Lytechinus pictus: one gene and its partners. The protein of the gene in region 2 interacts with the protein of the main gene of each other region in a pairwise test. Links are inferred from orthologs where the notes say so. Each region holds a gene or a part of one and is shown on either strand. Other genes may lie near its edges. The genes, in order: gamma-adducin-like, protein lin-7 homolog C-like and receptor tyrosine-protein kinase erbB-4-like.

Region 1 (7,799 bases), on a different chromosome or scaffold from region 2:
TGCGTGGTTTGGGGTCGGACCGCACCAGAGGGGCATGGTAGATGTAACCGGTTCTGTGACCCTAGGGAAAGAAAGGAAGGTACATGGTTAGGGAATTTAAACAAAACTGTATAACAATGATTGTGTCACAAGATTATGCCTCGAGTTGATTGAGCTTAGTGTAAGAATGGGAACGTCGTCAGACTTGAAACTAGTTCAGGAATAACATATGACTTCAAATTTTGCTAATTGCAGTGACAGTTCCTGCAAATTACAGTCTTCAATGAGTAGCAGAAAATTTAAGCATGTTTCATTTTTCACAGTCTTTTTCCAGTCCCTAAAAAGTGTTAAAGATGTCACAAAAAACCTTCTGGAGGCAAGAGACATCTCTATGACTCTACTTGATGCTGTTTGGCTCACATTAGAAACCACATGACTGCGTTCATCGAGACACCCCTCCCAGCCCTGACTTCTGTCAGTTTCCATGAGGTATTCCAGGCTTTGAACTTGGACAGTCGGACAGTCACGTTGATTTAGTTAAATATCTGTCAAGGGTCCTGTAACAGAGCTTAGCTTTGGTCATAGGGCTGATTTTGACAACTGCTTCTATTGCTCATTGCATACTATCAATCGAGCATATTAATGACACGATCAATCGCTAAGACTTATGTTGCAGGGCCCATTGCGCCTAAATATATGCCTTCATCCTACCATGTTATCCAATTGCCTCATCATGGCTTCAAACTCCAGCTCTCCCCAGCGCCACTTCTTGATCTGATCATCGCCTTGTACACCTCCACCTCCCTGGGAAGCGACCTCTCTGGTCTTCTCTGCAATCTCTGCGGACACCTTGATCAGTTGGTCTATACCTGCAGACATCGCTTGAACCTGAGGGGAAAAAGTGAAGAAAAGTTCACATGAGCTTTATCAATTCCTATAAAAAATGTTCCCTCAAACTGTTCATATCATTTTCGAAAGCTAAAAATACATTTAGAAGTCAAGATGTTGGAGCCATTATTTTTGCAATCAATCTCTGAAACATTTTTTTGTTTACCTCAGTCCAATTGATATCAAAAGATAAAGAGGTGTATTACTTTTACTTGTGTGTAGAGAATTCTCAGATGATGTCCTAGTGGAGGCTTTGACAATAACAATAAAAACAAGATTGATGCACAAGTTTTAATTGATTGTCCTCCAACATGTCTTCTTTTGGGAACGTTCTATACCTAATTCATTACAAAAACTGAAACACTGAACCTCACATTGTCACGAATGGTGGTGATCAAATGCTCAATTCAATAATCTGGGGAGCACTTCATGAAATGAATAGTCAGTAATTTTCACCATCTATTGTTATAAGCTACTGTAAATTATTGCATCTGATTGGCTGAGGGCAAAGAAGACAGTGAAAAACACTGAATAAAACTTTTCACGAAACACACCCCAGGTATTGGATGAATTTGAGCAGGATACTTAATAACAGACCTTAGAATAGAGGGAAATCTTCTTAAAGAAAGAACAAATAACCAATGACGCTTTGTACTAACCTGTGTATTACATGCTGCCATGACATTGACTGTAAGATAGTACGCCTCCTCAATGGTCTGTCCGCAGCATACAACACCATGATTACGTAAGAACAACACCCTCTTCTTGGGACCTAGCGCCCTGATGATGCTGTCCTTCTGTTCATCATCAATGACGATGCCCTTGTAGTCATAGTACGAAACCTCACCAAGGATGAGTGCTTCCTGGCAGATCGGCAGGAGGCCACACTCCATGGCAGATACCTAAGGATGAGACATGGAAGAACATGGTTACTTTGACGTATTAATCAGAGTAAGATAGTTGGGTTGAGGTTGAAGGATGTACTGAATTGTGCAAAGTGGACTACTGTATCTGATCCACAAGCCTCTTCACAAGGGGAAAATTAAACAAAGCAATGTAAAAGGTATGTATTCTCTCATACACTCTCCTTTAATAAGTGGAGAGGGTAGGTATTTTTGATCGAAAATGTCACGTCTCGACTTCTTTGTGTGACTTGGAGATGACGGCTACTATACTTACAGCAGCAACAACTGGTGTATGGGCATGAAGGATGCATTTGACGTCTGGTCTGGCATTGTGGATAGCAGAGTGAAGTGTGAAGCCGGCCAGGTTGGGGCCATAGGTCGTCGTGCCATGGTCGATGATGTTGCCCACGGAGTCGATCTTGATGAGGGATGATGCAGTGACCTCATGGTAAAGGAGGCCGAAGGGGTTGATCAGGAAATGGTCTTGCTCCTTGCTCACACGAGCCTACAGAAGTAGAGATTAAGAAATACAGTAATACTATGAGACATTTTATATAGTGTTAAATACAATGTTGCTCAGTGCTGCATATTACTATCCCAACATGGCTACTGTGAACAGGCACTCAATAATTCAATGAGCTCTTTATTACATCCATTTACTACACCTGGGTGGAGAGTGGCAAAATAAATGCCTAGCCGAGGGACACAGATGATGCAAATAGATTTAAAACCCAGATCTTGTGTTTCGAAATCCAGAGACTTATTTATCCACTGACCCACAACAATTCCAAAGATGACAAATAAAACAAAACGAAAAGAAGCGAGACGAATGGGAAACAGAAAGGCCAATGTTACAGTGAAGGCAGCAAGAGGAACTAGGAGAGGGAATTAGATCATAGAGACAATTATTATTTTTTTAATGAGGTCAAAAGAGAATGAGGGGGGGGAGATGAAATAGAAGATACAAGGAGAATTTTGAAGAAGAGAAGACGTAGTGATAACGTTAAGGGTCTATTATACACAAGAGTAGAAGGCACTCAAGGGAGAGAATGACGGAGTAGAATAAAGAAAAGATATAATTAATAACAGATTAATATCATTAGTGAGCAAGCGCTTTATAACATTAACACCTGTCAAAGCTAAATAACACAGAAGGTAATGTTTCATGAAGATGCAACTGGGTCACATAACACAAAGCTAAGCGATTGATTGTACGCTTGATTGTACATTGTAGTCTATCAATTTACCGTCAAAATTTATTTTGTGATCATTTCTAAGCTTTGTGTTACAGGTTCCTCTAGTTTCAGGCAAACATCAATAGCCATACACAGCAAGTAGTTATCCACTTTAAATACCGAAAGAGGGATTGCTTATTTCAAAAGCATAATCAAAATTAATTTTATTTCAAAGAAAACAATGTATAGAAGTTTTCACAATGTTTCCATCTTGCTTTTATATTGCTTAATCATTTCAATAGAATCACTAATTATTCTTGATAATAATACACAAAGAAAAAAAGATCAAGATTCATAAAGAGATCAAGAAAAGAGAGACTATCAATAGATGTACAAGAAGACAACAATTTTTCTTGTCTTGAAATTATTACTCAGTACTCAGAAGATGACATTCACGATCATATCAATCCACAGTCATTAATCTAGCCACAGTGTTTGTCTCAATCTGAAATAATGCGACAGTCTTTCTCCCCATGTATGAAGATAATAAAACAACTTTATTAGGTAGGCCTATAATATTATTTTCTATGCAATGAATGTTTTCTTCAGTTTTATTTTCTAAAGAGCAACAACCTAAAAGCATAAGGATCTTAACCTTAAAGCAAGATATCTGATGACGGACTACCAATACATTCTCCTGCTCATCACGATCACAACACTACATGTTCCCTTGCAGTAATCCATCCCTCCGTCTATCCAAGACTTCCGCTAAACTTCTTCCGTGCAGGCATAGCGTTTCATCATCACACCATGCTCCTCCCAGACAGTATCTTCTGCCTTGGGTATCACTGCAACCTACCCAGTCATTCACTTGGCGAGGGTATCAATGTCTCTGTAATTCATTTAGTCTTATTCTTACCATATGACTCAGTTAGGTAGACATCTAGTCATTATTTCACGACATGAATCATCCTCACGAAGGTGACATCATTTACATTCTTACTAGAGTACAACTTTTGAAAAAGTTACCCAACGACAAAATCAAAGGCTGACCGCATAAACAAGTGCCCTGAAAAAAAAAGCGTTTCCATGAATGGACATGCTGGACGTTTTTATTTATTCACAAGTCCCGTTTTATCCACCAGTTTCCATAGTAACAGTGCTTCTAGGCCAATCAAAATCAAGGAAAGCTATAAAACTTGCTGCACAAATGCCCCCCCCCCCCCGATTCAAGGATCCTTTTCTTCCAGGGGGGGGGGGTCCATAATTCTAAATTCATACCATCAAAACCGACTCCAAACCCACTAGTGGTATGTCAATGGGAATAGATTGACTAGTCTGATATTGTTGCTTGCGCGACTGTACCATTAAACTGATTCTGCAGTCATACTACAGTCTGGAGCCAGTTTCTTTGATGTGACAGGCTTCAGAATTACAACAGCAGCTCATGGATGAAGTCTCTTCCAAACATTCTTTTTTTTAAATGAAGTTTAAAATAAGCTAGAGTACTAATATAAAGATCTGATTTCTCTGAGACACTGAAGTAGTATGCTCTACACTGCCCTTAACTCCAACTCCCACACTGCTTGTTATCAATAACATTTTAACATTTTCATTCCATATTTTAAGCAAATATAGCATCAAAGGTCTTGAGAAATATCTCAAGTCACATAAACAGAAAGGGATCAGCTGTATATATCCGCATCATCCTTCCACTCGGTAATCTCTACTTCAATATATCCTTGTCTTTGCTCAGAGACATCCCAACTATCTTCCATCATCATGTCTCCTCTATCCCTACCAAACATCTGAGCAAGAAGAGGTCCAATCCAGCTCAGACCTCTTCAGACAAAAGATAAAATGTTGAATATTGATGGAAGGAGTTTAAGCATCATTTTAAATGAAAACTCCTTGTGTGAATGAGCTGTTATACAGTAAAAATGTAGCATTGCAAGGTTTAATCTTTTCAAATGATAACTCTTGGTGTTAATGAGCTAGTGCTACTGTATATCAATGTAAAGACTTAAGGCTAGCATCATTTCAAATGAAAACTCCAGTGTGAATGAGCTCTGAGACTGCGAGTCTGACTCATTCATTTAGTATGCCCATGTGAACCCTGATACATGCATAATGCACACTAAGCGAGGAAGGACGAAGAACATAGTCAATATTTGCCCAATGCCATTTCCATCAAGGTCCAGTGAGAGATGTATAATGTATAAAGAGATATAGCAGGTCTAAATATATATCATCATTGAGCTCATCAGACATCAGTACACAAAATTCATGTAGGCCTACATAAACAAAATATTGCAGTGTTCAAATGAATTGCTGCATCTCACAGCAGAGTTTATGTGTGAATTAACGATCCACAATGGATTGCAATATGAAATAACACTCCTGGGCCCCATCTTACAAAGAGTTACGATTGATCCAATCAATCTCAAGTATATGGAAATCCATTCATGTCATATATTTTTTTTTTGAAATTTGATCAATGTCCTTTGAAAACAAAGAGAAGCATACTGATTTTTCAAGAAAACTGTGAATGTATAAATATAAGTCATTTCTAGAAAGTATTTTGAACAAACATGTATTTCAGATGATGATGTTGCTGGCCTTCCATAGTCGCGATTGATCAGATCATGGACCTATGAAAGCTGGACATTCATCGGTTAGTTAATGAATTCACTAACATCTGACTGTCATTGTCATGTGAATAACATTCTCTTCATATTTATCTCCTGTGATACCATCATGGTCGCCGTCAATTAAACCATGAGTTACAGAAGCTTTCGGTGATTAGACATTTAACATTAGACAAATTGTATGCGCAGAAGGTAATAAATTGCCTGAATTCTCGGAAATTAATGTGCAGTTCTGGTTTACAAATGGTTATCTTAGTTCCATGGTTTTTATTTGGAAAAATGTATGAATATTTCAAGATAGAGGCTGAAATGAAATTGATTGATTGTAATTTATAATCACATTTTAAAGATTTCCTCATAATATTCCAAAGAAACATGGTGGGTTTCTTGTAGGGGTCGTCCCCCTCTCGTTGTTAGAAAAGTCACTATGAGTGTGCAGAAGCGTGCAAATCGATAATAATAAATTTGATATCACAAAAATCGTCTGCTTCTCAATTTGCTGTTCCAAATCTGAAACATCTTAATTGAAAGGTATAATCTGCTACAAGACATCAGCCAACAAACGGCAAAAAGAGCAAAACATTCCTTTGTGAAGATCAGATTCGCCTTGGTAGTCGCCATTGTCAAAGCACCTGTATGGTATCATTAATATGCACATAGTCAGGAGACGGCGACTATGATTGCATCAAAAGAATGCTCGCGTTAATCGTCTATTTCTTATAGGTCCATGATCAGATTAATCCCAACTCTTTGTAAGATAGGCCCCTGGTGGGTGTTTCATAAAGCTGTTAATTAAATTACATATGACTGGAACACGTTCCTAGGAGCCAAGTCAGTAAAATAGGCCTATGTCATTAAGAACAAAAAAGAGTCACCAATTGTATGTAATATCATTTGTAACTTACAGACATTTTTATGAAACACCCAACTGATTGGTTCCTAGTCAGTGTTATCAACAAAATGTGCAAGCAACAATGATCGTGATTGGCCATTACCACAAAGCAATTGATTGCGAATCTTTGTGTTAATGGGGCTTCCAGATTCCAATCTACATTTTCCCCATTGATTGATCTCAGTTGAGCCATCTTTTCCAAAATTGCTCGGTACATACACGCACATGCATGCAGACAACCCAATATGTTGGATTAATGCGGGCGACTTCCAAGGACTCATGTTATGCTGTTGACTGCGAAAGTGTAATATCTGCAAATGGCAAGGTAACAAGCCTATATTGGCTTACAGGTTGGATCATGAAAGTTTATGTATCACAAGCGGCACTTAGAAACATTTGTATTAAATAAAGCGAAGTATGCCTAACTTATCTGCTGATATTATAATTATTATTCTTATCATGTCTTTTATAGCGCTGCGTGTGTGGGGTCTAAACTCTTGAGTAATTAATAGACAGTCTATTACACTATATTTCTTTACATTTCATTCTATATTCACAAAAGTATTATAAACAGATTCTCTGAAGAAAAGAAACTGAATATGTGTGAGTTTTTTTAATAACTGATTGCAAAAGTAATCCCTATTTTGAGTAAAAAAATAAAGCATACATGATGATGAGCGCAATCAAGGTTCATGCAATAGCTCTATGGTTCATGTATAGGAAATACTAGTAACATGGCCAGGTTAAGAGAAATGATGAATTCATGGATGTTGCACATCTTTGTCTCTTATTTCTTCATCTTTCAAAGTACTTTGCCATGACAGTGTCCATAGAGCAGTGAAACATATTCATATCTTATTTTCAATTCCTGCAAAGGCTTTCTCTTAATGCTAGCACTGATCAAAATGATGGCTTGGGACACATCATTTCCGATTCCGGTAATCCTAGCCAGTTCATGTTGGTTAGCCGACCATGGAGTATTGAGGAGGCCTTGTGCAGCGAATGAATGCAAAGTAACGACTATTTGTGGGAAAAATGTGCCATTTTGCAGGCAATCAGAAGCACGTAACGATCATGTTGCTAATAAAGAATGATCAACCAAGAGTCTTCAAATGTGATGAAAATGTGTGATTGACAGACCTAGACGACATAGGCCGGCTGGTAATATTGAGTAATGAGTCATAAGTACACAGGTGAAATTAAAAGTGAAATGGGTCTTTAACACCAAGAGGAATTATCTAATCAATTCCTCCATATCTATACAGGATGTTAGGTTTGCACATTAGTACAATTGCATTTATTACTAAAAAGG
Region 2 (7,375 bases):
GCTGTCAAAATACAAATTCTGGATATATTTTGTTCATCTACCCTGCCAACAGTACAGTAATCTCTCAATACATTATATTGTTCCACTGCTGGGTTTAATTGCTAAAATAATCTCTTTTTCTATTTTTTTATTCAAAGATCTAGTTTTTACATTACTGCATTATAGTGCTAAATTCCAGTTTCACAAATATCAAAATATGAAGAATTTCACAGATATATGATTTTATTTTGAAAACTTGGAATACTGTTATTATTCTTTGACTGATACATAAACCTTCACCAATATTTTTCTATATTTTTTTCTGCTTTGAACCATCTCACCATCAGGGCAAACATACATGTAGCCTTTGACTTTAGGATCTGGATAGAGGTTTTGGAAAGTGCTCAGTATGTATCTGTAATTTTTGTGGTACATGTACTTGCAAATTATATGATAAACTTACGTTGCTGTAGATTTTGAAGTAACTGTATTGCACGGCTGACATCTGATGGAAAATAAACAGAGACGTGATGACATGACTTTGACAGGAATCCCACATTAACTAAGTACAATCTCACACTTTACTCATTTGTAAAAAGTACAGAAATCCCACAAAATATATTATTTCAAAAGCATGAAAGACAAGATAGATCTAGAGGTCAAGATTGATCATTTATTTTAAAACAAAGAAGGGGGAGACAGTACCATCACAATTATAAAAAGCATGGTGATAATAATTACCAGCCTTCCTTTGATTAAAAAAAAAAAAAAAAAACCCAGTCAGTCTTCAAAACAATTATTATTCCTGTTTGTTTTTATCGAGAAGTAAAAATCTATTCCGGGCACTGAGCTTTCCTACCAGTCATGCCCAACAAATAAAAAGCATATTCTATAATCTATAGACTCTTTATCATTCCAAGCTCACAGCCCGGCCCAGGCCCCAGCTAACACAACAACAGTTCCATTGGCAGATCTAGCGAGCAGAATCAGAAAGTCAAGGGTGTAACAGGGGGGGGGGGGGGGGGGGGTGACAGGAGCAAAAAATTTCCTGGACATATCATGGTGTCAACAGGATTTTTCATGATGGTAATAAAATATGCGAGCATTGGCGCGTAGCTCTATGTGGGATTAGCGTGACGAGTAAAAAGAAATCAAGGGGCACCGCATGGCGCTTGTGGCAAAAGTTTCATGATAAAACTTCACTTTTTCATTACAATCTTACTTTTAGGGTCTTTATCTCTCTTTTCTCCTCTTCATTGTTCTTGGTTGTAATAATAATTATTTATAATCAAGTTTCAAATTTTATCATTTGTTAAATGATAATTTTTATCAATAAATTGTTCTTCAAGACGGTATTTTGTACCATTGCTTATCGAGGCTACGTTATAACGAAGCGGTTCAAGGGCCAAGCCTTATGTATTGCGGTGTTTACGAATGGAATGAGGGATCTAAACGAAATCGGTCTGGTAAGAAACCTCTGATTTTTCATATTTATACTAATAGTTTTTTTGCACCTTCATACGCATTAGGCATATGAAGGTGTATACAAATTTATGTGATTTGTAGGTTTAAAGATGGATTTCCTAATATCCTATGGAAATCAATCAATGCTTTGATGTCTCGCTTCGCCTGTTTCAAGGCTTCATGATGAATAAGTATATGTCAAAATATTAAAAAATATAATCACAAAGTCCTCAAGGCCAATGCCCACCGTTTTTCCAAATATCGTGATCGGGAACGTTTAATCTGGCCCCGTTCTCGACGATCTATTCTAAGTAACTGCTCCAATTTGAAGTTAGCAACCAAAATCATGCGAACAAACATGTGAGCTGCCGCAGGCATATCTTTTGGTTGCTAAGTAAGGGCAAGGCCTATGTCTGACCCGAGAACCCGGGGGGGGGGGGGGCACTTACATTGACGAGTGGATACCATGCGCGACCAAAAAAACACGTAAAAAGGGTGTCTTTTTCAAGATAGGGCACGTTACGTATGTAACTTAGTAATAAGGGTGTCAAAAACACTAAAATAATGAAAAAAGGGTATCTATTTTCGCTAGAAGAGCTACGTATTTAGGGTCAAATTTGGGAGGGTATAGAAAATTGGGACTAAAATGTTTTTTATAAAGGATGTACTTTTTGCCCCAACAATCAACACTACGTGTTTAGAGTACGATTTACGCGAGGTGTGGAAGGTGAAGCCGTACTAAACCCAATTAATGATGTAGTTAAACTTAAACTAAGGTAAAACCGACGACCGACCTCCATGGCATAACAATTAAAATATCGCTGTACTTGTTTAGGGGTTCAATTCAGGGAATACTTGCCAAGTCCAAGAGTATCGTTTTGTTTCCAATACTTGTTATTAAGGGTAGGGTTTAACATGCTAATACTTGTTAAGGGGTGCATTTTCAGCATATGGAAAATACGTGTTTAGGGTGCTTTTTGAGACCCCATGGCCATGGTCGCACATGGTATCCACTCTTCAATGGAAGTGCCCCCCCCCCCCCCAAGAATTTGAATAACGTCGAGATCGGAGCCAAAATGTAAATTCGCCGTTCCCGATTTGGAAAAGCAGTGGGCATATTCACCTCGAAGTGTGAATGAGAGACTTGCATTTTGCAAACAATATACTGGTGGGAAATTTGCCTGAAATCGGTAAGCGCGAAATTGCATTAGCCCCGGACAGTCAGAGAGTCAGCTCCGCCAAACTCTCAGCGAGCTCTTCGTCATCACCTACCGGCCACCTCCCCGCCCCGTTGGGGCCGATATGAACGTTCGCACGACCCCTCCTTCCTGTAAACATCAGCCAGTGCAGTGGGTTGCAAATGCCGGACCGTAGCGTAGAAACTCCCAGAAAACACTCTTATTTCCACACTTCCTCGTAATATCACACATTGAATCCCACTTTATAACAATCCTTAGATAATGCATATGTATGAAATAAGTAAATAAACGTAAATATTCATAAATTCTCTGATATATTGGCAAAAACATAATCGTTAGTGTTTTACCTCTGTCGAGTGTAAGTTCGCCTGTAGAAGCCATTTTGTCATCTGATCTCGGATGACGTCATCATTGTACTGTACACACACATCGAATGCATGAAAAAAAATCTGCAAATCTGGCAGTAAAGAGCAAGTTGGGAGCAATGTGCTTCAAGGATTAATCAGAAGAAAATATGTGGCAAAGGGAAGGGTGGAATTACAACAACAAAAAATGGTTGGAAAAGGAAGAGAACAGAAAAATAAAAGAAACGGGAAAAGAGAAAAGACAGCAACGCCCGCAGCAACGTATACGAAAATTAATAGAAGACAACAATTAAAAAACTGAAAAAGAAGAAGAAAAGATAACAGAAAACAGAAACTTTGAAAATGAATGAAAAGAAAAGGAAAGAAAAGAAACGAATAGAAACGAAACGAAAATAAAAGAAAAGAAAAGAAAGAAAGAAAGAAAGACAGAAAGAAAGAAAGAAAGAAAGAAAGAAAAGAAAAGAAAAGAAAGAAAGAAAAGAAAAGAAAAGAAAAGAAAAGAAAGAAAAGAAAAGAAAAGAAAAGAAAAGAAAAGAAAAGAAAAGAAAAGAAAAGAAAAGAAAAGAAAAGAAAAGGAAAGAAAAGAAAAGAAAGAAAAGAAAAGAAAAGAAAAGAAAAGAAAAGAAAAGAAAGAAAGAAAAGAAAAGAAAAGAAAAGAAAAGAAAAGAAAAGAAAAGAAAAGAAAAGAAAAGAAAAGAAAAGAAAAGAAAAGAAAAGAAAAGAAAAGAAAAGAAAAGAAAAGAAAAGAATGAAAAGAAAAGAAAGTAAAGAAAGAAAAGAAAAGATATAGGTCCTGAAAATATGTACGATAAAATATGAAAAGAGGAAATTAACAAAATAATAAAAGATGAAAGGTAGGCCTATATCTAAAGGCCTTTGATTATACAGGAGAGAAAAGTAAAACATAATCCCCGCGGAGCCAAAAGGTAAAAAGAAATACAGCGTCGAGGTCAAGGAATATATTTGCAGACAAAATAAGAGAAAAAGAAGTAGAAAAATAAAAACTATATATATTGGCGCTATATGAATGCCTATATCATTATCCCCGAGAAAGTCAAAGTGAAACCATATAGGCGAGCCCATTATGGGGCAAATTCATTGGCTGGGGGTGTAGCTCCTGCATCGATCGCGGCCGCACCTCGAGCTGCAACTGCTGACAATAGGCCTTATAGGCCTATTTTTTAATTGATTATAATTTTAGAACTGAAGAAGAGAAAACAACAAGAAGAAAGGAATTGAAAAGCATGTGAGTATAACCCTACGGTGAGTTGAGTTGCATACTTGCATGGCCCACAGCATCCCTAGCTGTTTTATTATCATTATTACTACTGATTTGATTGTTTTGTTTTCTTCATGGAAAAAAACAAAATCGATTTTATTTTCTTCAGGTATCCTCCTTATCATACACTGCTTTTCTTTTCAGTATAGTTTCTCTATTATATAATTATTGCATAATAAATTGTCACCGTTTTTTTGGCAGTCAAACCAAGTTACAGATGTAGTTTCCCTTTTCATGATTCTGTATTTTGTTCTTTGCCATTTACCCCACCCCCTCTCCCTTGGGGGGGGGGGCATGGTCCACTATTATAGTGCACTAACTGAACAAAGTTATAGAGAACGGCAAAATGACGGAGGTCCCTTTCAGGGGCGGATCCTGGATTTTCCAAAGGGGGGGGGGGCACATTTTTCCGAGGATGAATTTGACAAGCAAAAAAAAGTTATCACTTACAAAGGGAGGGGGGCACAATTTTAATCCCCTCCCCCCCCCCCCCCCATTTATTAGCCATTATTAGTCAAGAAGTTTTCATGAAACGCTTAATTCCCATGTAATTTCGTGTTTCCATTCAACTTAATGCGAAATGAAAATTGGAATACTGCCCTCTGCGGTGACTCTTTTGCTTAGAACTTTTTCGTTTTCATTATATTTTTAGTGATTTTTGTTTCACTTTCTCTCTCTCTCTCTCTCTCTTTCATTCATTCATTTTTTTGTAGAACTTTCATCTACCCTTCACATGTTTTCTTCCGGGTATTTCTTTTATAGCTTAGCCACGTTTTCTTTCTAGAAAACCATGAATTTTTCCTTAATTCCCCATCAAGCTTTTATTCTTTTGCAATATCTTGCTCCGACTTTTCACTGTCTTTTTGTAATTCCCAAATCAAATCAGATACAAAAAAATGAATTATAAAGTATTTAAAGGGATGGTCCGGGCTGGAAGTATTTATAGCTTAATAAATAGAGTAGAATTTACTGAGCAAAATGCCGAGAATTTTATCAAGATCGGATAACAAGTTTATTGAATTTTAAAGTTTAGCAATATTTTGTGAAAACAGTCGTCATGAATATTCATTAGGTGGGCTGATGATGTCACATCCCCACTTGTTCTTTTGTATTTTATTATATGAAATTAGGTTTATTAACTTTTTTCTCCAAGAACTAGAAAAATTGGATTGACAACTGATTTAGTGCATTAGATATTTATTGCTGCAACTTATTTCATTATAAGGGAGACATATCATTCACACAAGGTAAGTATGAAATAATGAAAAAATTATGATATTATGTAATAACATAAGAAAACGGAAAGTTGGGATGTTACATCATCAGCCCACCTAATGAATATTCATGACGACTGTTTTCACAAAATATTGCTAAACTTTAACCATCAATAACTTTATTATTTGTTATCCGATTTTGATGAAATTTTCGGCATTTTGCTCAGTGAATTCTACTCTATGTATTAAAATATAAATATTTTCAGCCCGGACCATCCCTTTATTTGGTTAAAAAAAATCACTAACCAGCGGATCATAATTTATGACCCTTTCCCCCTCCTTTTCCTTTAATCTATTACCTCCTTTCCACATAATCCTTTAATATGGTTTTCATGACCCGATTTACCCCATTCCCCTCTTTTTTATTTATTTTTTATTATGCAAACGCATTTTATATGTTCCATAATCATGCAGTCTGTATACCTGCTTTTCTACTACGTCTTTAGACCATTCCCTTCTTTTATGTATCACTTTTTTTCTCAAATACTTTGTCTCGATACGGATCCAGATCCAGATATTGCTCTTTCAGTCGGCACCACCCCTCCCTAAAAACGGGGAATTACGACAGCAATAACAGGATAAAAACAAATCATATCACAACAGAGAGCAATTATTATTTTTATTCATTTTTTCTGAATCAGCAATATTATTTTTTATTTTAAGTGCGTTTCCATCAAACATTTTCAATAAAACTTAAACAGAATGTTTCAAAACAGGCACATTGAGTAGATTATCAGTTACAAAGTGTTATTTCTCTGACGCCAAACCACCGGCCCAATACCGGGAAGAGTCAATGAATACGTACCACAATGTGAAACACTTGTGAAACCATGCCCCCTTCACACTTAAATTTGATCATTTCAACAATGTGCATCCCATATTCACATAATCGACCATGTGAACAACCACCAACGCTGCCAGTTACTACACTGTAAAAAAAAATTAGTAGAAATTACTTAATAAAATTGTGGCAAAAAATTGCCTTAATTTTTTCAAGTATTTATGACTTTGGCAGTTTTAAGTAAAATTTACTTATTTTCTTTGCTTCCATTTTACTCAAGAAAATTAAGTTACAATAACTTAATTCAATTAAGTAAAACAATCACTAAAATATTTGAAAATATCAAATGGGGGAGTGGATGGACTTTCGTGATTCGAAAGTCCGCTCCCCCATCGTCCCACTTTTGGTGGCATCATTTTCATTTTATACATGTTTTATCCAAATATTAGACTTTGTGAATTGTCACTTACCTGTACATGTATAGGTACTGACATTGATATTTATACGCGATCGTTTCATTCTTACAAATAAAACAGTGAGAATAATTTTCTGCTAAATGACTATTTAATGTTGCCTTTTCTTTGATTCAACAAAAGAATACAATAGTTAGCACACCCTTATCCAAAACAATTTCAAACACAAATAGAAATGACAGTTATTAAAAAAAAAAAACATTTACTTGCTCTAATGAATATTCATGCATTATTTAAATATGGCGTTAATTGAAAATATAAATACATTCAACATGATTTTATAAGTAATAATCATCTTTGCCTAATTGAGTTAGATTTACTCAATCAAAGCAAGATATCAATACGTGAATTTTCTTAAATGTATATTGAACCCAAATAAATCAAGTAAATCAAGTAAATTAAAAGACAAGTTGAAACTACTTAAAAACAACAAAAAATAATTACAAATTGTAAATTCTACTTAAATACATTAAGTGTTAACTACTGATTCAATGTTTTTTTTTTACAGTGTATTGCTCTTATATTCCTATACATAACAATTTTTTTACTATTATATATTTT
Region 3 (7,340 bases), on a different chromosome or scaffold from region 2:
ATAAAGCTACCTGACCCCTGTCAGCATATGACAACATGGTTAAGTGGTTTGGTAAATGGCACCCGCAAGAAGGTCAGGGTTCAAACTCACCAGACATCCAGCATTAGAAGAATTGGTGCAACCCCCAGCGCAACTTCTGTGGCAGCAGTCCGCCTGAGTAGGACCTCGACAACGGTAGTCGCATGTTGAGCTGCAATCTTTTAGCGTTACTATAGAGAGGAAAAGGGAAAGACTTAATATTTATGTGTACCAAGACATGAAAAGTAAAATCCATGGACAAATTTAGACATTTACTCACAAAAAGAAATTTCCAGTATTATAGGTTAGATGACAGAATGCCTTTCATTCAGCATTTGTGACAAGACGAGAATTTACCTTCCTGCAAAAAAATGTCATGCTTTATCTTTTCAAACATACAAACCATAGATCAAAGTTATTGACTGATAATAAAGTTTTGAGTGATTTGGAGAAAATAATAATGCAAAATCAATTGAAACAGCTTCCCTTTATTCTTCTAGAAATATTTCAAATATTATCTATTTCAATGGACCAAAATGTATAGAGCTTAATATCTTCATATTATGAATAAATAACTGAGGAGAATGATGATGTATTACATTGTCTACTCACATATCTGACAATGGTCCTCTCCTGGACCCCAGCATCGACCCTTGCATGATTCATGACATTGGTGTTCTGTGTAAAAGAAGATGAACAAAGATAAACATTAATAATTATAAATTACTTTAACAAGAGGAAGTGGCACTGACCTTGCACATATCAAATTGTGTATAAAAGAAGTACTTGCATTCCATAAATAAAAATTATGGATATGTATACCATATAGAATACAATGACTGCATTAGTAATCTTTAAAATACTCAGAGACAACGTCCCTATGTATCATTATTTAAAAATTTTCTCAACTAACAGATTTAAAGAGCAAAATAAGTTTATCTTTCTAAGTAGCTAATGCCTTTCTTGCTGTAAGCACATGAAATAGTCCTCACCTAAGCAGTTACGTTGTGGATGTTCATCCCATACTGAGAAGTTGGCTACCAAACCAGGTTGCATGTCATCCCAGGCAATGGTCTGTACATAGCACAGTTGATTATTCTGATGAAAGTATACATCTCCTTTCAAGATTTCTGCAAGAAAAAACACAATTTTAGCAATACTAGTTTAAAAATTGAATGAAACCATGATTAATATGATTGAATTCCTTTTTTAATCTTAAAATCAGTATGTTTAATCAGGGGAGGATCCAGGATTTTCCAAAGGGGGGGGGGGAATTTTTCGGAGGAAAATTTTGACAAGCCCCCCCCCCCCCAAAAAAAAAAAGGTTTTCAACAACAAATTAAGGATATTTCGTACCCGAAAAAATTTGACAAGCCAAAAAAAAAGGTGTTCAATTTCAAAAGAGGGGCCACACCTCTGTTTTCATGGCATTTTTACATTACAAATTTTTAATTTTGCTTCTCAAAAGGAAGGGGGCACGTGCCCCCTGGATCCGCGCCTGGTTTAATCATCATTCATCGATACGAGCGTTTGATTGGGATTTATGGAAGAAGTATGTGACAGTTCAGATCATGTCAAAAACATCAGCGTAGCAAAAATCATTGATCTGATATCACAGCTGAGAATTTAAGTGTACCATAGATATTACCTCGCCTTTGTTTTTAAGGATGCCCCATGCTGAAATGCTGAATCTGATCCAATTTTATTCTCCCTAAATGTACACATAGGCATCATTTGAATATTCCCAATATTTTAGTGTGCTTAAAGAACCAAGGAGGATGTTTAAACCCCATTATGCTTTTTTGTGTTAAACACCTTTTATGAAATACTGGTCACTACCTGTTTGAATGAACTACCCCATTGTCAAAAACCTATTTGGTGTTTCTCCTGTGGTCTTCTAGCTCATAAAACCATAGAGACAAAGAGGTTTTAGACCAATGGAAATATTTCAAATATATACCAAAATGGTGCATGGGCCAAGGAGCAGCTAGATATCAAGACTTCTTATTGATAGCATAGAATTAGACAGAGTGAGATTAGACCAATAACCAATTCAACACTCATTGTCTATTTCTTTTACCCAAGGCTATTTCAGAATCTCTGGAAATTGTTTCATTCAACTTGGCTGATTTTTCATATTATTCACTTCTGCTATTCAGGAGCCGATGTGGATCCAGGAAACATTCCCATCATTAATAGAATATTTATCTTTTAAGTTTTTAACTTTAAATAAAAACCAAAACCCCAAAAATAATACATGAACAAAGTATGACAACAAATAATAACTAGGTACATAGCTATCAATAGACTTACCATGTAATGATGTTAACCAAATCTCTTCTGTAGCTATTTCTGGATCTCCTGTATGAAACGTCAATGCAACATAGAGGGCGTACTTGTCGTCGTAAAGCTTTGTTCCTCTGATAACCCGTAAGTTTGTGAGCGGTATCACCCGGGAATACGTCAAGAGAATGAGAATATATCCTGTGACTTCCCGTATCGATGAGAGAAAGCTAAGATCATATTCTTGCTCATGGAGAAAGGATATTTCCAGGTTTCCGTCAACGTATGTACAGTTTGTATATCTTTCCTTTAAATCTTCATAGTACTGTTGCCTTGCTCCGGCAGTATCGCTGTTGTATGGTTTAGCGGTACCTTGATCTGTGCCAGTACATACTGTAAGAAGATAAAAACAAAAGAAACAAATTAAATACTGGTATGACAAATTTCAATTCTATAGCATGGATTAAGGGGAAGGTCACAACTAAATGTAGGCACTGTGAATGAGAATAGAGCATACAGAAATTATTTTTTATTGTATTCGGAAAATAATACAACTTAAACCCCTAAAACAGCATATCTTTAGCATTGATCATTATAACCACACTTGCCTGAGCTATATTGATCATAATGCACACTATTTCCCTCTGCACCCCCCTCCCTCCCTCCTCCTCTCCACCCCACCCCCCCCCCCCACCTCCCTCCTCCCCTCCACTCACCCAGGCACAAACTGCTGTGTGAGTCTCTGCTGAGCTTGTTCCATTGAGCTTGTTCTACTACATTCCAATCCATACCAATTGGGAATACTGGTATCAAAATATCACATCATTCTATCTTTGATGTGTTTCATATTTTGATTGAAACCTGTGTTTAGATACTCAGAAAACACACCAGAGACAAGTACCTGCCAGAAACCAGTTTTCACAGGTAAAACATAAACCTAATCACAGGTAAAGTAATACTAGTAAACTCTGTCTTCCAGGTATTAGAATTACAAAATTTATGTTTCCTATTCATTACACTATAATTGATTCATATTTCTATTAAATCGTATAATCTAAAGTGAAAGGGCACATGCTGCAAACAAAGTGAAGTAATTTTCCATAATTTGACATTATCTGAGTTAAAATCTATAAATGTTTCAGCTATTATAAAAAAAATTGCCTGTTTTTTATGAAGAAACTATTTGGTCAGAAATTGTTCCTGCCTTTCATATATCTTTGTATGCTAAAAATTAAAGTGTGAATACTAGTAATCATAACCTTGTGAAAATGCCAATGTGGTTACAAAAAAAAACCTGTAATTACAAAACATAAAAGCCAGTACCAATTGATACTGATTTTGCATCCATATAATTATAGCCTTCAAAATATAATACTCATATCATTTTCAGTGAGATTAGCTTAGGATCTGTGAAAAGTGGGTCATTTATTTGGTATTACGTCAAAGTGGCAATCCCTTGATACCTGACTTTGATATTGGGGTTGCTTTACACTATGATTGCCTGATATGGGTCAAAACCAGCTATGTCAAAGAGGGCATGTCCAGGTGTACTTTGATTTGGGATGAACATTTAAAAATCAAACCATCATTTAAACAAATGAAAAATTGATGCATTTTGGTGGTGGGTGAAAGGGAGGGGGGGGGGTCAGTCACGATTTTGGTGTATATTTCTGTAAATCTGTATTACTACAAACATCATTCATGTTGAGACAAAAGTGTTTGCAAACCTATCAAACTTTTGATATAAAGGAACAAACTGTGAAAATAAGATGGATACATTTTAAATGGTGTCATATTTTTTTAACGCAAACATGAAAAGAAACAGTTAAGTGTGTCACTCACTGCATGACAGCTCATATTGAAAGATAGTGGATGGTTGGAGTAAAATGGGAGAGGGGGACATGCCCCTTTACCCCTACAGCTATCGAGCCTAACCTCTGAACTTGTACGATCTGGCATTTCTTACAGGTGTTTTACCTCAAAAGATTTACAACACTAAATTGGGCTAGAAAAGAGAAAATATGATTTCATCTCTTCTGTTGTAATGTTAACCTGGGGATGCCACCATCAATTGATCTTGAAATTGGTAAAACAAAGTCTAAACAAGGGGTTGAATGTCTAAAAACAGAATTATATTCACAAATCCATCACCCAAGAAGGCTCTCAATAATATCTGACTGCATTCTTCCATACAAAGGTGTTCTAGGTTCCTACATATCCATAATAGTTTTACAAAGTCACTACAAAATCTTTGCTTATTAAACTGCGATTGAAGCACCTCTTTTCAAATTTAATTGGGTAACTTGAATTTAATTTCCACATTATCTTTATTTTCCTTACTTCCATGTGTCCATTATTTTTAATTGATGTAAGCTTTATACTTTACTTATTTTACTTCATCACTGTGTGAATATGTTTTAACATATGAGATGTAGGCTGAAACCAATATGGACCTACATGGTTTTACATTATAGAGATGCAATGTAAAAACATTGCAATTCGTAAGTTTTCCTGCCAGAATACGACTTGTCAAGGACCCATATTGTTGGGGGGAAGAGAGGGGTACAATTCATATAGGGCTTACATTACAGGCATCAGGTATCGGTCTAGTTTGTTGAAACAGAATGTGCAATAGCCACTACAAGAAGTAACATGAATCACATCAAATTAACAGAAGACACTGCAAAAACACTTGCAAATAAAACCCAAATAGGATGGGACAACTCCCAGTATCAAGTTCTAATTATCAACATATCATCAACAACCCCAAGGTCAAAGGTCATAGCAGGTCAGACAAGAATGTAACAAAACCTCACTAAATACTTGGCCCTCTTGTAACATAGCTGTAGTACCATGGCAACCTAAAGTTGAGTCATCCATTAAAAACTTCTTGGGTCATACACAGAAGAGTAAAGTATCTGACATTCAAGTTGTTACTTGATATCTAGGGTCTTGAAAGACAAGGGGTCAAGAAGGTATGTTGAAATTCTCTGTTTGGGAACATTGAGACATCAAGGAGACATTGAGGAGGCATGAATTTTTACAAATACTGGGTAAAATATCACTGTAGAGTTTCTGTTTTGTATACTTTCATCTACTTATGGTGCTGTTTTAGCTGTTTTGTGTACATGTAACAATTTAATGCATCTCTCATTCTCACTATAACCTTCTCACTCATCTTTTAATATATGTACATTCAGAAGACCTCTCGAATTTTATATATATGACCAGAAGAAGATGCTTTGAAAGTTCTTCTAAGTCAGTATGCAATAAACCTTAGTGATATTTCTATTTAAATAACAAGCAATGAAAAATCTACTGACCACATATGACTAAATAACTTCAGAATGAGCCAAAATTGAAATATATCGCGCAAAATACTTCCATTACTGAATAGAATTTTGGCCTGTCATGCCTTTTCAGAACCTTGCAGTCTTCCCATCAAACGAATATCAGGAAGGATAATTTATGAATTTTCTGATGTCTCTGCTTATCAACAAGTAATCAAATGATTTCTGAGATAGAGACTGGTAGTTATTCAACATCTCAGGAATGGAGCAATAGAAGATGAACAAATTTCCCAGAAGAATAAATGGCCTTAGATTTGACAAATGATCTCACTAATGATCACTTTCTTAATGAACCCCGCTTATCATATATGACGAGATCAGATGTCAATCACTCCCCCCCCCCCCCCCATGAAGGAAAGTTGGTCAATGACCCCACACGACCTCATGCTGACCTAAATTCCACAGAGGTCGATGTTGTGTTGTATCAAAAAGTCATCATAGTACTTCTACGTTATGTGTATTGAAGGTTTTTGTCAGCATACAGGCCTACACCACAACAGCTTTGCTGATGAAGTTTTTTTCCTCGTTTTCCTAGCTCAAATTTACTTTTACAATTTGAAACGCACTTGGGTACAAGACCTTCGTTTCAAATGTGACATTTTAATAAAAAGACAAAGTATTATTTACAAAGAAAAGGGCATCTATTCCACATCCCAAGGACTCAATATCATTACTCACACTTTAAAAATTGAGAGTCAAATATTTCTAGGAATGAAATGGGGGCAAGAAAATAAATTTCACTGCTTACCGGGATTTAATGCGCTGGTAATAATGAAAGCCGTGTACTTTCTACGAATGTGTCACTGTTTGATTACAACACACGATACCCTAAATGAATACAGTGGGCCAACCACAAGAAAAGATGAATTATTTTCAAATCAAACCATCACTGGTGCATAAGTGAAAGCTAAAGCCATAGCTGAAGGCAAGATGAAGGGGGTATGACAAGGGGGGTGAGAATGGCTTGGGGCTGGTGGTACCTTAGATGGGTGTATTATTTACACATCTTGGGTGTTCGGTATCACTTTATTTTTGGAGGTATACAGCCACGAGCTGCTATAGAGTATCTATCGCAATTCCATCAAGGATTTCTACTCAGAGTATACTGTTCAGTGTGTTTCCTTCTAAGCTTCTCCTAGTAGAATATAACATCTCATAGAACTATAGAATTCTGGTGATTGTCATTGTCAACACTTATTGCTATGTCTATATAAGGGTCTTCAAAGCGTAAGTTTAAAAGATTTTAGGCTCTTTGGCAGAGCTGACACTCGTACACCAAAGTTCATTTGATTTTTTTAAAACTTAGTCATACGACATGACAGTGAACACACTGAATGATGTTGCCAAATCTCGAATGGACCCTTCCAATGCTCTACATGTACATACAAATTTTCCTACCTTACCAAAAAGAAGAGGATGATTCTATTATTCTCAATCTCTAAATACTTCCCAAAAACATCATTAGTATTTTATCAAAGACAACATGATTTAACAAACATTTATTGTATTTGTGTCACTGTAAAGCATAATTTTCTACCAGCGTACTAAGTCTACGGTCACTTTAAGATCTGAAATGTCATAATATTCCAGCAGTTTCCCCAGTATTATCTAGATATTCAGGCTGGGTATCATCACGGCCCATTGTTTATGATTTTGTTTGGGGGACGTGTCCAGCGAGCATTAATCACA

What was found.
Region 1: the proteins of protein lin-7 homolog C-like (region 2) and gamma-adducin-like interact in a two-hybrid assay, tested with the Caenorhabditis elegans proteins (3 studies listed by BioGRID). The link is inferred for Lytechinus pictus from reciprocal best matches to the Caenorhabditis elegans genes lin-7 and add-1.
Region 3: the proteins of protein lin-7 homolog C-like (region 2) and receptor tyrosine-protein kinase erbB-4-like interact in a two-hybrid assay, tested with the Caenorhabditis elegans proteins (3 studies listed by BioGRID). The link is inferred for Lytechinus pictus from reciprocal best matches to the Caenorhabditis elegans genes lin-7 and let-23.

Annotation. Positions count from the first base shown.
Region 1 is NC_087256.1:11,546,650-11,554,448, reverse strand, and holds the start of gamma-adducin-like, read right to left. Parts: upstream 3,098-7,799; coding exon 3,062-3,097; intron 2,278-3,061; coding exon 2,047-2,277; intron 1,770-2,046; coding exon 1,527-1,769; intron 868-1,526; coding exon 691-867; intron 62-690; coding exon 1-61. UniProt on the Caenorhabditis elegans protein: Membrane-cytoskeleton-associated protein that promotes the assembly of the spectrin-actin network. Plays a role in time-dependent memmory loss and the retention of conditioned behavior over time.
Region 2 is NC_087253.1:11,784,773-11,792,147, reverse strand, and holds the start of protein lin-7 homolog C-like, read right to left. Parts: upstream 3,088-7,375; 5' UTR 3,024-3,087; coding exon 2,990-3,023; intron 485-2,989; coding exon 443-484; intron 1-442.
Region 3 is NC_087245.1:2,233,161-2,240,500, reverse strand, and holds the start of receptor tyrosine-protein kinase erbB-4-like, read right to left. Parts: upstream 3,091-7,340; coding exon 3,018-3,090; intron 2,695-3,017; coding exon 2,332-2,694; intron 1,149-2,331; coding exon 1,011-1,148; intron 697-1,010; coding exon 631-696; intron 210-630; coding exon 91-209; intron 1-90. UniProt on the Caenorhabditis elegans protein: Tyrosine-protein kinase receptor which, upon binding ligand lin-3, activates 2 signaling cascades: the let-60/Ras and MAP kinase signaling pathway and the let-60-independent phospholipase C-mediated Ca(2+) signaling pathway.